Linked DNA regions of Oryzias latipes. The protein of the gene in region 1 purifies or fractionates together with the protein of each later gene. This does not show direct contact. Links are inferred from orthologs where the notes say so. Each region holds a gene or a part of one and is shown on either strand. Other genes may lie near its edges. The genes, in order: foxj1, tbc1d32, cdk20 and rfx3.

What was found.
Region 2: the proteins of foxj1 (region 1) and tbc1d32 purify together in Homo sapiens (affinity purification with mass spectrometry; 3 studies listed by BioGRID and IntAct, counting the BioPlex papers as one, with this or other methods). This does not show direct contact. The link is inferred for Oryzias latipes from reciprocal best matches to the Homo sapiens genes FOXJ1 and TBC1D32.
Region 3: the proteins of foxj1 (region 1) and cdk20 purify together in Homo sapiens (affinity purification with mass spectrometry; 3 studies listed by BioGRID and IntAct, counting the BioPlex papers as one, with this or other methods). This does not show direct contact. The link is inferred for Oryzias latipes from reciprocal best matches to the Homo sapiens genes FOXJ1 and CDK20.
Region 4: the proteins of foxj1 (region 1) and rfx3 purify together in Homo sapiens (affinity purification with mass spectrometry; 3 studies listed by BioGRID and IntAct, counting the BioPlex papers as one, with this or other methods). This does not show direct contact. The link is inferred for Oryzias latipes from reciprocal best matches to the Homo sapiens genes FOXJ1 and RFX3.

What each region holds. Positions count from the first base shown.
Region 1 is NC_019866.2:2,710,963-2,715,168, forward strand, and holds the start of foxj1 (forkhead box protein J1), read left to right. Parts: upstream 1-1,388; 5' UTR 1,389-1,820; intron 1,821-2,326; 5' UTR 2,327-2,354; coding exon 2,355-2,942; intron 2,943-3,384; coding exon 3,385-4,206. UniProt on the Homo sapiens protein: Transcription factor specifically required for the formation of motile cilia. Acts by activating transcription of genes that mediate assembly of motile cilia, such as CFAP157.
Region 2 is NC_019882.2:17,649,856-17,653,418, forward strand, and holds part of tbc1d32 (protein broad-minded), read left to right. Parts: intron 1-290; coding exon 291-468; intron 469-553; coding exon 554-625; intron 626-1,705; coding exon 1,706-1,825; intron 1,826-1,922; coding exon 1,923-2,001; intron 2,002-3,275; coding exon 3,276-3,379; intron 3,380-3,452; coding exon 3,453-3,514; intron 3,515-3,563.
Region 3 is NC_019865.2:33,767,727-33,771,826, forward strand, and holds the start of cdk20 (cyclin-dependent kinase 20), read left to right. Parts: upstream 1-1,299; 5' UTR 1,300-1,681; coding exon 1,682-1,762; intron 1,763-1,844; coding exon 1,845-1,958; intron 1,959-4,100. Other genes in the region: protein UXT, read right to left, coding at 797-894. UniProt on the Homo sapiens protein: Required for high-level Shh responses in the developing neural tube.
Region 4 is NC_019870.2:13,046,856-13,050,956, reverse strand, and holds the start of rfx3 (transcription factor RFX3), read left to right. Parts: upstream 1-1,259; 5' UTR 1,260-1,569; intron 1,570-4,101. UniProt on the Homo sapiens protein: Transcription factor required for ciliogenesis and islet cell differentiation during endocrine pancreas development. Essential for the differentiation of nodal monocilia and left-right asymmetry specification during embryogenesis.

The DNA.
Region 1 (4,206 bases):
AAACTATACCGTGTCTCAATCCAAATGTTGTTTTCCACTAAAAACAATTTTATGATGCATGAGTGGATTTGATCAACATCTTGCCTAAGACAGATCAATCTGGTTGGATAAACTGACCACGTCCATTAATCATTACACCCCAACCATCTAATATTTTAATGACTTTGGGTCAAAACGCTGAAGGTGAAGTTCTAAAGCAGGTCCGCTTTAGCAGAAGCAACAACAGGTGAGTTTCTCCTCCAAACAATCTTTTCTTTCTTGGAAGAACAGAGGAGAAAGCTGAAGAGGAGGAGAGTCCAGATGTTTGGTGAACTTTGGCGCCCTCTTGTGTTCATCAACAACATCTGCTAACAAACCCATTTTCCTGAAACATTTTGGAATCTTTCTCTGCGCTTTTTTTTTTACCACAGTGTCATCATCTCATCTCTCTCGGCATTGGTGGGTCAAACATCCTCAGAAGAAAGATTTAAGATGATTCCTCAGACTTTGATGGCAGACGGCAGACAGACTTTTTCATCTTTTTTCACTCTCTTTCTCCTGTTATTCTGTCTTTAGAAACACCGGACTTTACTTTCCGAGGTCATTTATTCGTAGAATGATTTCGGCCTTAAGTTCTCCTATTTTTCTTCATTCAGGAAGCATATCTTCTGTCATTTAGAAAGTAAAGGTTTGATATTTGTTTGAGTTGATTCTTTTATTTTGGAGGAGGAGGCTGAGTGAGGAGCAGCCGTGGGCATCATCAGGCTGTGTCCACAGCTGTCAGCAGCACACGGCGCTCCTCGTCAGGCCCACAGGGAGCAGGAGGCCTTTTATTGCTTTACAGTGGCTTTGTGAGGAGCCTCAGGAAACCACTCAGCCACACTAATAGAACGTTAGATGAGCCAAACCTTTTTTGTTTGGCCTTTCTCTGCCTTTTCTGTCTTATGAACAAAAGTGCATTCCTTCGCACTCGCCTCCTCCTGAAACATCCAACGGAGAGGCTCGTTAAAACCTCCAGGCCAGAGCTGGACAGAACCTGCAGCGAGGAAAGTCATCTTTGTCTTTTAGCGCCATCAGGAACTGTTCAACTTTTGTTTTATTGTTATTTAGCTTTGTCTTCCTCCTGCAGGGGCCGGGCTTCTCTGAAAGACAGAAAATGAGAAGAACAAAAATGACCTTTAATAGTTTGTCATCTAGTAAAAAAAATCCATGCGGTTAAAAAGATAATAATTTGGTAAAAAACCTGTTGGAGGCGTCAGAAGTGACGAAATTAAGACAAAAAAGTTCTACTGCGATAAATTAAACTGAACAGTTTTACTAATTTAAAAAGAGAAAATTCAAGGATTTTAATAGAAAACCATCTTTCCAATTAATTTTCCAATATTTATTTTATTTTAATTTTTTTATTTTACTCTCCATCTTTTATTAAAAAATAAAATAACATTAAAAAAGAAGAAGTGTAGATCCTCTAGGATGGCCCCGCGGGGCCCCGGGCCTCACTCTGAGGACCTCCAGCCTCGGCTGACTTTAGGGTGATTAAAAATGAAGCTCCATGGCAACCAGCCGGCCAATGGGGGCGCTTGAAGCTGTTTACAGGGGGAGTGTATCGTTTCTATGGCTCCCGGACAAACCTCCTGCACCAGGTATTAAACTGTCCCCCCCCCGGCGGAGCCCGCTGACACCCGCGCGGAGAGGAGGACGAGCAGCGCAGGAGAGCACGGATCCTGTTCTCGGTCGAGGACGCGCGTGCAGGCGGCAGATGCGCGGTGCGCAGACCGAGGATCGCCGAGCGCAGCCGGTTTAGAATTTAAAGGTTTTTGAGAGAAAACAGCAGTTCCGAGGTGAGTGTGACTGTTAGAATGATCCAAAAGTGATCAGAAGGGACAACTCCAGCTGACTAATTACATTTATTTAAAATCGGTTCCTTGAACACGATCCAACGGTTTTATTTCGTTTGCAATATTAACCTCACTGTCTAAACACACAAACATGGATTTTAGGCACAACAGTTTCTACAATATGAAAGAAAATATACTCTCTCTATATATAATATTTTTAATATAACATTTATCACTGTTAACAATTTTAAAGGTTTTTTTAAACGTCTTTTACGCCTCGTGATCATTAAGAGTTCGGAGAGGAGGCCGTTCTGCGTCATTACGCATGAGGTCCACAGGAAAGTTCTGGTGTTAAAGAAAAAGAACCATTAAAGTTTAATGCGGTTTTAGCTCAAATTTCCTGCTTTATTCGGGAACATTTAAAAAAGAACCGCAGTGTTTTTGCCCAAACTGCTTCTGTTTTCTCATCTGCGCCGTGCTGGAGCTGATGTTAATGTTGGTCTTGTCAGGCGGTGGCAGGGGGGGAAGGATAGAGCGATGCTGTCACTCAGCTGCGCGGACCCCTGGCCCGAAGGCTCGGTGGTGCTGGAGGAGGAGGTGGTGACCGCCGCGGCGCAGGCGGAGGAGCGGGACGCCGCCGGGAGCTGCAGCAGCAGCAGCAGCAGCAGCAGCAGCAGCAGCAGCAGCAGCAGCAGCTGGTGCGGCTCCGACAACCTGGATGACAGCCTGACCAGCCTGCAGTGGCTGCAGGACTTCTCCATCCTCGGCGCCAACGTTCCGCAGCACGCGCACCAGCAGCCCCACTTTTTCGGACAGCAGCTGGGGTTGGACGCGCCCGCTTCCCCCCTGGCCGGGGACCCCGCGTCCATGGGGATGCCCCTGACCCCGGGGAAGCCCACGGCCGCGTCCTACAGCAGGATCCAGCCCGGCGTCGTGGCGCGCGGACTGACGCCGGACGGCGCGGATTACCGGAACAACGCGCGCGTCAAGCCGCCGTTCTCCTACGCCACCCTGATCTGCATGGCGATGCAGGCCAGCAAGAAGAGCAAGATCACGCTGTCCTGCATCTACAAGTGGATCACAGACAACTTCTGCTACTACCGCCACGCGGACCCCACCTGGCAGGTACACCGGCACGTGCATGCACAGCAGGAAACGCGCGCGCCCCTCAGATGGTGTGACATTGAGTCTGTGCGCGAGACTTGAGGCAGAGTGAGCCTGCAGGTGTTAGGCTATATCACACTATTTTGTTTTTGGTTTGATTATTTGGAGTTTGGAGGAGAAGAATTCCCGTCAGGAATGTTCCAGAAAAGTTTAATTTTCTTGGATAAATGATTGATGAAGCCGTTAGCTGTTCTGTGGGACTCAGACACTTAAGAGCATTTTGTTATTGTAAGTCTGAACACGGGGCAGATAATATTTAACAGAGGTCGGCAGCTCACGGCTCTGTTTGGACTTCAGGGAGGAGGGCCAGCAGGATGGGGGGGGGGGGCACAGAGATGCTAATAGGATGCAGGCAGACAGGTTCAGAGGGGGACTCTCACTCAGAACATCTTGTGTGTTTCAGAACTCCATCCGACACAACCTGTCGCTCAACAAGTGCTTCATCAAAGTCCCCCGGCAGAAGGACGAGCCGGGCAAAGGGGGCTTCTGGAAGATCGACCCGCAGTACGCCGAACACCTCCTCAGCGGTTCCCACAAGAAGAGGCGGATGCCCCCGGTCCAGATCAACCCCGCCCTGCAGAGCAGACTCCACATCCACCTGCAGCCACGCTCCAGCACCCCCTGCCCCCTGGCGGACGGCCTGGACTTCAACCCACATGCCCCGAGCCTCATGCAGGGGTTGGAGGAGGTGACCGGTGCCGACCAGAGCTGGAACCCCCGTCTGGCCGAGGGGACGATGCTGGGGGCCTGGCCGGTGGTGAGGGGAAGAAGAGGGAAAAAGAGGAAAAATCCGTTTGGATCCAGGAATGGCGGCACCAGAGGGTTCCGGGGCTCCAGCTCCCCCCTCCTCTGTGGGGAGGAGCAGAAGCAGGTGGGACCTCTGGAGGGCGACTTCGACTGGGATGCCCTGCTGGACTCAGCGCTCAGCGGGGAGCTCAGCCTGGATGAAGAGGGGCCTCTGAGCCCCATCCTGAAAGAAGAGGCCCTGACAGCGAGGGGGGGCCAGGTTGCAGCCGGCGAAGCTCCGGCAGGAACGACGGCCGATCAAAGGAGTAATGTGCCTGACTTTGACGAGGAGACCCTTCTCGCCACAGCCTTCCTGGAGACTCCCTGGCCAGGAGAAGAAGAGGAGGAGCAAAGTCAGGCCAACTTCCTCTGTAACTCCAATCTGGATCAGCTGTTCGACCTGGGAGACTCTTTACATGGAGATCCCAGCGGCCAGATG
Region 2 (3,563 bases), on another chromosome or scaffold:
GCAGAAATTAAACAAAAAAATTACTTAAAATGGATCGTGCTAAAACCAAGTCTGTCTGACTGTGATTATATAAAATTTAAATGTTCTTTTTTATGTTTTATGTTCTTCTGTCATCTTAAGAAGGAGTTTACTTTACAGTTATTGTTTGCTGAACAAGACAACATAAAAGGACTCAGGCTGCATTAGAAATAGACATACCGGTATTTAAAAAGAATAAAAGTTCATCAACAGAATTTCAAGAAAAGCTATGGTGGACTTTCAGATAATCCGTTTTTTTCTTCTTGAACCAGGTATCAGCAGATGATGCAGACCTTGAAAACCTCACTGAGCTCTGTTGTGGAGTGTTTAACCAACAAATACAAGGAGAGCCAGCTGAGAAAAGAGGAGACGCACAGAGAGAGGGAGCACAGCCAGCACAGCAGCCACTTCACAGACAGCTGCTCCGACAGCGACTCCTCCTTCAACCAGGTCAGAGGAACAAGACACGAGGGGGGTTTGATTCTGGAATGGGGTTGTTTTCTCTCTCTGAGACTCTCCTCTTGATCTTTTCCAGAGCTACACCTTCATCACGCAGGAGGAGCTCCAGCTTCTAGCTGAAAGACTTGAGCCCGGCAAGCCCAAAGAGGTACCCAACCTGAGGCTTTCACATTCACCACCATGGTTGTTTCCCATCTGTTCTATGTATGTTTTAGCTGTGCTCAGCCTGTCAGAACTCAGAGCTACACAATACAGATTCAGATTCTGTTTTTTAACTGAAGTTTTTGCCTTCTTTCCACAAACACATACTCCTCTTTTGAGCTGCAGTTATTTAAATTCTTTTTAGTGGAACCTGTTCTCTGTGCTTTCATTTATCCACCTTCAAGAAACAATAATAACTTCATGCATTAATTTTCAGAGCTCTTGGCAGAATATTTACCAAGCTATGATCATTTTAAATATGCATATGTGCTGCCCAGCAATGTTCATTAAACTGTTCATTTGCACTTAACCTTATTAAAAAGTTCAAGAATGCAGGCCAAAGGGTTGGCCCCCAGTAGGCCTGAACAATATACCGCAAATTTATCTTTATCGCAATATCAAGCTGTGCAATATGCATATCGCAAAAGACAGCAAATTTGCAATAAATGGTTACCTTAGATGTGGCCAAACAGTCTTATGGCAGCTTGAAGTGTTTAATGGATTGAAAGAATCCCTTTCTGCATTTGACCAATCAGATGGACCCCTTCACGTTGTTAACTAATCGGATGGCGCTCTATTATGTTGTATGTTCGCCTCCTATGTCAACAAGGGTCATTTGTAGTATAATTTTTAAGCTGTTGTAATGGAATGGGAATAATATTTTTGGTTGTTTTGCTAATTGTTTATATACCGCAAATTATATCGTTATCGCAATATTAATTTCTAATATCGCATATCGCGGGTTTTCTTCATATCGTGCAGCCCTAGCCCACATACAGTTTCACTTCACTAAATCCGGCCCTCTTTGACACCCCTGGTTTAGGTCAATTTGATTGACAGCTTGCCTCAGACAGATTGATCTGGTTGGATCATAGGAAAATAAATCGATTCATGGTTACACCCCTACAAAGAGTAGATCTCTTAAACCAGGTTTAGACAGTCACATTTTGGAGATTTCGGCCACACCCATCGCCCCCGATCATCTTAAAATTCATTCAAGCTGGGATCTGTTTGAATGTGTGTGTAGATGCGTCGGGAGGCGTTGCACGTCCTCTGCCGTGCGTCTCTGCCTGATCTGTTGAGCTGCGAGAGCTGGAGTACCCTGCGCAGGAACCTCTCTTTGGCTCTGAACGAGGCCGAGCTCAGTGTGAGTCCTAACCTCATGTCCCCCCGCTGTCCCACACACCCACATTTCCTTCCGCCACTGCAGGAATAAAGGTCTCTTTTTCTCCTGTCCCTGTCAGGAAGAGGCGTTGCAGTTTTTTGCTAAAAGCTTCTCCTGCTCTCCACTCAATGTCACCAGAGAGATGTTCGCCAGTTTAGGTAGGAAATGTAAATAGAGATATGACTGTTTTTTTTAACAAAATGTATTTTCTTCATCATTGAACCGCCACCTTAATGTGGTGGAGGGGTTGAAGAGCTTTAGTCATCCCAGGAGCTAAACTGTCTAGAGATTTTGCAGACAGACAGGTCCTGGGTGACGAGCCAGACAAAGAGCTGTTCAGAACCCGCTTGATGAGAAGTACAAACAAAGATTTTGCTATGTCGCCAGGATTGGCTTCACTGAAGCCCCACTCCAGAGCCAGGACTGGGGATTACAGTCATGTGGGCCAAACACCTGTAGGGGCCTGTCCAATGTGGTTTGTGTGGCAGTTGAAGGCAGGTGTCTCAGCGACCCCCTTTTCAATGGGGGGGTGTTCCAGCTCCCGGGGAATCACAATGGAAAGTCTATGCCAGGGTACCCTGAGAGGAGAGTCCATCCGATAGTTGAACCTCAGATCCAGGAACAACAGTCCGGTTTCTGTCCTGGTTGTGGAACAGTGGACCGGCCCTAACCCTTTTTAGAGTGCTGGAGGGTTTGTGGGAGTTCACTTATCCAGTCCATATGTGTTTGTGGATTTGAAGAAGGTGTTCAACCGGGTCCCCTGTGGTTTCCTGTGGAGGATGGGATCCGTGGAGCCTTACTGAGGGCTGTCCAGTGGTTTGCATAGCCGGCAGTAAGTTGGACCCGTTACCGTTGCATGTTGGACTCTGGCAGTGCTGCCCTTTGAGCACAGAATTTTTAGGCACAACCAGGGGCCGGAGGAGGTCCGGTTTGGGGACCACAGGATTTCCTTTCTCCTCTTTGCAGATGATGTTGTCCTGTCTAAATGGGCGCAGTGTCCCTTCCCCAGGTGGAGGAGTATATTGGGGTCTTGAACCCAAGTGAGGGAAGATTGGAGCGTGAGATTGACAGGCAGATTGGTGCGGCATCTGCCGTTATGCAGTCGCCGTACCGGCCCATTATGGTCAAGAGAGCTGAGCCAGAGAACACCCTTAGGGTGGCTGGGCGCTGCCTTAGAGATAGGGGGAGAAGCACGGTCAATGGGAGAGAGCAATTTTACAGACACAAGCTGTATATAAAATAAAATAAAAAATAACAACTAAAAGTTGAAGAAAGACGATCTGTTAAATTCTGCTTTATATCCTCGTTCCTTTGGTAGATTTTTTTAAACTACTTTGTGGAAAAAACTGAAAATCATTTATTTTACAAATAAGTTAAAGAATTTATCAGTTTCATGACATTAATTGGTGTCGATATGCTTTTTTCTTAACAGCTAAAAATGTAGAATCCAGTTTTGTGTCTCACAAGCTGAACTTCCCAAGCGGCTCAGCAACCCTCGACATCAACACTCCTAAGATAACCCGCCTTCTCAAGCAGGTACTTTCTTTTCAGCTCAACTAAAGGTCGTTTCAGAAGAGTTTTTCTAATTATTTTGCTTTGTGCATTTCAGATGCGATTGATTAATGACTTCCAGAAGGAGGTGGCTTCCTTCTGGATTCGTCACCCTGAGAAGTGAGTTCATGTCAAGGATTTCAGCACAGAGGCTTTGTTGCATGTTATG
Region 3 (4,100 bases), on another chromosome or scaffold:
GTAAGTTGCTATTCTGTACATTTAAAAAAATTCCAGGGTGTCAAAGGTTCTTATAGCTTTGGGGTTGGAAGAATGTTTTATTGCTTTGATATATTGGTTCAACTCAATCATAAAAAGTTTGAATAAGGGCTTTTTTTCAGAAAATTTGCATTTATGTATGTGGAATTTGGCTAGTATTATCAAAAGGTTAATTAAATAGTATTCCCTTCTTAGTGAATTATTAACACTATAAAAACCAAATAATATATCCTTGTATACCAAATCAAATTTTTCATAAATTTAACATCGAACAAAGGAGGTAAGGTCTTTCCAAAAAATTGCTGTTGGGGGGCATTTCCAGAAAAGATGTATAATTGTTTCAGTGTCTAATTTACAAAAGGAGCAATTTTTATCAATGTCTATGTGTAATGAGGATTTGGCTGGGTAGCATCTGTGAAGAAGTTTAAAACAAACATCCCGGGGTTTATTTGAAATAAAATATTTAGAGGACAAAGTCCAAACTTTCTTCCATTCAATATCTGGGGCAATTTTTCTCCAATAGTGGGTGCATAACCTGCTTTCTGGAATACTCCCCTGGGCCTTTGTGACGTCACAACACCGCATTAGTTCAAACAGAGCGTCTTTGAGACAGTTTGATTGACAGCGGTTTAAAAGGAGAAACACTCAGAAATGCAAAAATGAAACCATGTCTAATTCCATTTGTTGTATTTCATAAGACAAATACCACAATGTCACAAAACATGATTTTCATCAGAGGGGGACTTTCAGAACCGGAGCAGAACCCAGAGGGGCTTACCGCAGGTCTCTCCTCAGAACTTCCTCGATGAATCTTTCATACTGAAGGACCTTCTCTTCCATCCTCGAGTCAGAACCGGCGTCTGTGGGCGGAGTCATCGGGGATGGGGGGCTAATGCGGGGGCTCTGCGGGCCGGTTCAGCTCAGACACTTGTAAAGAAGTTCACAGCCCCACATGCAGTCATCTAAACAAGATTCTGAACCGGAAGTACTCCGACAAGATACTTCCAGGTTTCAGCGTAGAAGAGGAGCAGAAAAAAGAACATTTAATTTCTTTTTATGTTTAAAGCACTTTGTGCAAACAGTTGTTATTTGGTCATTTTCACTTACATTTATTCTTCCATATTCTACCAGATATATAGAACGTGGCAATTATTCATAAACTAATTCCCGGGTTAAACCTTATGTGAATATGAATTTTAAAATATATATGTTTTTGTTTAATGGCTGGTTGTGCTAATTTTATTTATTCTTCTTCGTTGTTTTATTTTCGTTGATTTGGATTGTCCTGTGATGACGTCACTGTCAACAAACATGGCGGAGAGCTGCGTTGACTATAGTTGAAACGTTTTCAAAATATCTCGTCAAGTGCCAAAGGACAGCGCACATTTGGTGTCGCGTACATGTCATCAGCTTTACGCATCAAGTAAATATCCAGCACTATACTAAATATTCAACGATATACTAAAGTTTCGTAGTTTTATTTATCAGATGTGACCGAGGCAACATCAGCGCCCACTTCCGGTCTCGTTCCGTTCAAAATGTCGTGCTTATTTTGGTTGGACGCGCCGGAGCCCCGCTCTTAAAACCCGTGGACTAAAAACCGTTAAGTAAAGGAACAAGTCCAAGTCCATAAAGATCCCCGCTGCAGCTGCAGGGGTCCTGGATGATCATGGAGCAGTACAGCATCCTAGGCCGGATTGGAGAAGGGGCTCACGGAATCGTGTTTAAGGCCAAGCACGTGCAGGTGAAACATGTTCATGGAGCAGAAAAAACAGACACCTGAACAGGTGATCATTCAGGCTGATGGATGAACGTGTTTCTGACAGACCGGGGAAACTGTGGCTCTAAAGAAGGTGGCTCTGAGGAAGCTGGAGGACGGCATTCCCAATCAGGCTCTGAGGGAGATCAAGGCTCTGCAGGAGATTGAGGACAACCAGCACGTGAGTGTGTACAGTCGTGGTCAAAGGTTTGGAGAATGACGTAAATATTGTTGGAAATTGGAAAATAATTGCTGCTTAAATACATATAATAGCATTTTGCATATACTCCATAATGTTATGATGATCAGATGAATTGCATAGTCCTTCTTTGCCATAAAAATGAACTTAATCCCCCAAAACTCTTTCCACGGCATTTCATTGGTGTCATTAAAGAACCAGCTGAGATCATTTCATTCATCGTCTTGTTAACTCAGGTGACAATGTTGACGAGCACCAGGCTGGAGATCATTCTGTCAGGCTGATGGGGTTAGAATGGCAGACTTGACATGTTAAAAGGAGGGTGATGCCTGGAATCATTAATCTTCCATTGGTAACCATGGTAACCTGCAAAGAAACGTGTGCAGCCATCACTGTATTGCATAAAAATTGATTCAAAGGGGAGGGTATTGTGGCAACTAAGATTGCATCTAAATCAACAATTTATAGGATCATAAAGAACATTTTTGGAGAGACGCCACTTCTCTCCAAAAACATTTCTGATTGCTTGGGGAATCTGCAGAAAAGGTGAGCGCTACCATCAGTCCTGTGTGACGCCAACAGTAAAGCATCCTGAGACCATTCATGTGTGGGGTTGTTTCCCATCCAGGGGAGGGGGCTCACTCACAATTCAGCCCAAAACACAGCCATGAATAAAGAATAGTACCAAAACACCCTCCAACAATAACTTCTTCCAACAACATTTTGGTGACAAACATGCATTTTCCAGAACCATGGAGCACCGGGCCATAAGGCTAAAGTGATAACTAAGTGGCTCTGGGACCAAAACGTTGAAATTGTGGGTCCATGGCCTGGAAACTCCTCAGATCTTTTGGTCAATCCTCAAGAGGCGGTTGGACAAACAAAAACCCACTAATTCTGACAAACTCCAAGAAGTGATTCTGAAAGAATGGGTTACTATCAGTCAGGAAGTTGATAGAGAGCATGTCCACTGGAACTGCAGAGGTTCTGAAAAAGAAGGGCCAACACTGCAAATACTGATGTCATTGTTGATAAAAGCCTTTGAAGCGTATGAAGTGCTTGTAATTCTATTTCAGTTATATTACAGAGAAAACTGAAACAAAGATCTAAATGCAGGTTAGCAGCTAACTCTGTGAAAACTACGATTTGAGTCATTCTCCAACTGACTGTACAGTCATGGCCAAAGGTTTTGAGAATGTGGGAGGTTTTTTTGGGATGATGTTAATTTTCATGGCAAAGAAGGACTATGCAATTCATCTAATCACTCATAACATTCTTGATTATATGCAAATTTCTATTATAAAAACTTAAGCAGCAAAAAAACTGAAACAAAGATCTAAAGCAGTGTTGCAGCAAACTTTGTGAGAACTAATATTTCTGTCATTCTCAAAACTTTTGGCCACAACTGTACAGTACTGAATTGTTCTATACAGCAGAACAGCATCAGAGAAAAGAACAAAACAGGATTTGACAGAGACTAAGGATCTGCTAGAGACTGGGACACGACAAAAAGCACTGATCTGGCAGAGAGCAGGGAACTGATAGAGACCAATGACCTGACAAAAAAAAGTATCTGATAAAGACTTGGACCTAACGGACATCAATGACCCAATAGACCATGCTGAGGCTAGAAACCAACAAACTTACTTGGAACAAGGACCAATGACCTCACAGAGAACATGGACCCAACTGAGACTGGAATTGTTTGTCACAATGTGACGTGTGGGGTTCGGGTCTGCAACGACGAATGTCGCGCATTTCATCAAGTTTCCTCAATGTTTAGTCGGTGGTTTTGGGGACCTATTTTATCTTGTACCTTTCACGAAGCTGTGATATCGATCCAAATCATGAGAAAGCCGCCGTTGGCTCACAAAAGTCTGCTACGTCTACTGTACCTTGTTCTGAATCTAAATCACAGTATAAGCTATCCCAGTAAGCACATCAACACATATATTAACACGCGGAAACCAAGTTCTTCAGTGGTGAAGTGAAGATGTGCAAACAACATGCGTGTGTTCGGCAACCTGAGACCACAGACCTGACTGAGACCATGAAGGTGACAGACTCAGGGACCTGACGGAGGCTGTCCAGGCTTGTCATTGGTCTGAGAAGGGAATACCCTTT
Region 4 (4,101 bases), on another chromosome or scaffold:
TAAAGTATTTCTTCCTCTCAGGTTCAGCAATAATCTGAATTTTCCTGGTGTAAATAGAACAGAGTTTTAGTGGTTGTACTGGGTTTTTTTTTTTAATTTATCAACAAGAAAAGCACAAAGTTTGTATAGAAAATGAGTGTGACTACAATAAGGACAATAATATAAGTTTGAAAGCACTTTATTATTAGATTATGATATAAAGATGTTAATGGTTTTTAACATTTAAGACACCAAATAATCCTAAATTATAGTGTTCCTTAACTGTGTCTTTCTCCTCTGAAACTAGAAGAACAAACAATTTTACTTGAAACATCTTTTTTTTATAAGAGTGTTGTGCTTCAGATGGAGGTTTTGCTAGTTGCCTAGCAACGGGAATAACAGCTTTACCAAAAAAGCGTCTGTTTAGTAACTGGCAGTTACTAACTGCTAATCAAATACAAATAAAAAGAAAGGCGGTGTGTTGGATACAGGTGGTTTGTTAGGCTTTGTGTCCAGCAGAAGCCAATGCCTGCTTTGTTTTAACATTGTTCTTCCTTTAAAAAACCTGGTTTGATGAAATAGTTTCACCTTTTGCACCCGAGTTTAGTTCAAAAGAAGGACACCATTTGTCTGCAAGTGCTGAAAATAATATTTAAATGATAAATATAGTAACATACATACAAATAAATTGAGTACATTAAATTATTGAATGCATTAATATTTGTCAAAAGAACATCGATAATTAAGCAAATAATAATAATAATAATAATAATAAAGTTATTAATCAACAACATGAGCATAATAGGGGTGGGATTATAAAATTTGACTTCCGCACATTCCTTTCTAAGCAAATAATTTAATTCATTTTGAGAAACTTCACATTAAATGGATTTGATGGGTTATGTATTGTATAGGTACAATCATGTCTATTTATGATTAAGAGTAATTATAAGGACATCATTTACAAGTGGATGTACATAGATTTGTATGTTCTTTTACTTTTATTTCCCAAACCTATATATATATATATATATATATATAAATTCCAACTGAGTGCATGAAAATATATAATTTCTCACCTTTAAATTAAATATGATACAGAAGTATACACGATTTATCAATTGCAATGCAATTTTTGATAAATATACTGCAGTGTAAAACAACCACAACATTGTAATAACATGGAAAACAAAGTAATGGCTAAATACATTTTATTTATTTTTGTATTATTTAAGTCAAGACTTCGAAGTAATTTGATTGAGAGAGAAAAATATCGGGGAATTTATCTGTACATGCCCCCCGAAAAAAGGAAAGAAAAGAAAGACAAAAGCCGAAAGAGAAGCAGTCCAATCAATTCATCGATGGTTGAAATCGTTTTATTCCTTTTTGATTTTTGCCGTAGGTATCGCCGCGCGCTCCTCCCACCTAAGGTTGCGCGCTGCCGGTGAGTTTTATAGCAACTGTTGCCCGGTGAGGCAGCGCCATAGTCACCGTAGTCCTGGCGACTGTAACCCACCAACAACAACCTCTCGCTCCATCATTACCACCTCCTCCATCATCCTCATCTTCATCAACCAGTCCACGGCTCAGGTTTGATTTAAATCCTTGACTATTTTTAGCATAAATGTAAGATGCTCCTCGGCGTCACAGGATATGAATTTTATCAGGGGGGGTTTGATGCTGTTGGTTTGCGTTTTGTCTGCTGTTGGATGAAGGCTCGCTGGGTAGCTGTGGTAGTTTTGCTAGCGAGGGTGTTTCTTTGTAACGTGTTAGCCTGCGTGCTAACGTTGCCTGTGGATACTAACTGAGGCGAGGCGTCCTGGTCGCCAACAGAAACCGGCTGTGTAGCCTTTTACAAAGCTTTACGGACCGGCCCGACTCCATTTTGTTCTAAAAAACGAGCTTTTATTCGCAGAGAATTGGTCTGAAGTTGCCATGCTGAGTGGTCGCAAAGGCTAGCCAGTGATGCTAACTGGTCAGCTGGAGCAGGTGTCTGTTGTTGCTAGGTTGCTAACGCCAGCGATGTCTGTTGCTGTCCCATTTTCGGGTAAATGTTACGGTCGGGTTGTGTGTTTCCGCGTCGGGTGATTCAGCGTTTTTTGCCGCTAAGAAATCTGTTCGTCGATTAGCAAAGGAAAGTGGTGTGTGCTCGCTGGGCTTTCACTCTCTAATAGGTTCACAATAGCTGAGCCTTTACTTTCCCTTTTGTCTTAGGGAGCAAGATCGCGGCGTTAGCTCTCCATCTGTGCTCTTTGTGGGATCAACTGGTAATAATGATAAGAACGCGATAACATCAGTTCTGTAGGGATCAGTTACTACACAATCAGATTTATATTAATGTATTTCAATATTTGAGGTAATACAGGATGTTCTAAATACTAGCTCTGTGCTTTTTTTCACAATATTTACTCAAAAAAATGTATTGGTTAATAAAAAAGAAAAAGTTGTTTTATTTTCAGAAAAAATGTTGGTTTTTTTCAGTGTGTTTATTCATATTTTCTAACTATAATTAAACACACCAATTTGCTGTTTCAATTTCTGCCATTAAACAGAATAAAAACTAAAAACTGGGGAGACCCCATGATCCTCCAGTCGTTTTTTTTTTCCATGTTAAGTTTCTAAGTGTTGCATCACATTTACTCCTGGGTCCACTTGGTCTCCCGCTCCCCTGCAGCCTCTCCTTCCCATTAGGAGAGGGAACAGGTGTGCATGGGTTTGTGTATCTTTGTCTGTGTGTGTGAGTTGCAATAAAAAAAAAACACACAAGGGTGAATTCTGGTTGTGACAGAGGTAGTAGCAGTGCTACTTCGTCACCTGTCTTAAGACCATCTGTAAAAAGTTTTTTCTTTTCTTTCCATCCTTAAGTTTTTTGTTTAAGCCAATTATTTATTCAGCTGTTGTAGTTTTGTTGGTGTGTTTGACCTGTTGCATAAGGCAGTTTAACAGCTTTAGCTACTGATAAAGGATGTTTTGTTAAACGATTATATTTTGGCACAAGGAAAAATTTATAAATGACTCATTGGCTGCAAGATCTAAACTCCAAACACACCTAAATTATCATCCTACCACCACCGTGCCAAGAGATGACTTTCAGTGCTTTCCTTGATTCGCTACATTGAGTTTTTAGCTAAAACCAGTGCTGGCCAATCGTCATTATTAACTTGCTTTCCTTTGTGTTCATTTTTGATGCACTGTGCTCAGCAGGTGGAAATTCGTACAGATTGAAAAAAATTGTAATGCTAGATTTATATACTCTCAATGTTCTTGTGACAACCAAACAATTATTTTATTGCAAAAATCTTCTTTACGCAAAAAAAACAAAACTATTTTCTCTTTTTAGATCTGGTTTACTTCATTGAGTGAGTAATAGTCATACTCATACTGTCAAAATATAGAGTTCAATCAAAATGAGTCAGTCCCCTGTTGCAAATTAGGTATATTAAATGTCAGCTGCAGCAACAAACAAATTAAAATTAGAACAATTGTGTAACAGCTGCAGCAGTCTTTAAATAATTTAAGTCCTTGCATAGAACTGCGGCTGTAGAGTTCAGATTAAAAAAGCCAAATCCATATTGCGATTTGTCTGTGCGTGTGTGTGTGTGTACCGTAAATGTGCAAAGGCTATGCATTATATTAAATCTAAGGTTGCAGCAAACGAAAATAAAAGAACGTAGGAAATAAAATGGATTTAATTGAAAAACATAAATGTAATTAAAGCGAGTTGAATGACTGAAAATAGTTTGGCACAACACAGATGCAAATCTGTGCACAGGCAATCACAGCTGGTTTGCTTGTTATACAATACAGCAAACCCCTGCTGGAGAGGAGTCCTAGTATTTCATCGCCTGACAGATGGATGTGTGTCAAGAGAACAGTTCAAAAGTTAAGAGATGGGGTTTAGCAAACCATACAGTTGGAAACTGTTGCCATGAAATGAAACTAGCTTTCAGGGGCCGTAGATTAGACGGCTCTGGGATGTTTTGACATTTCTAACAATAGAAATTTGCACGATTCGTTCAAATAACAGGAAAGGCTGGGAGACGATCCTAAACGAAATCCACCAATGTTTGGGTTCTGAGGAGGTTTTTTAAGATTTGAAAGGTGGAGTCGCACTTGTCTCCC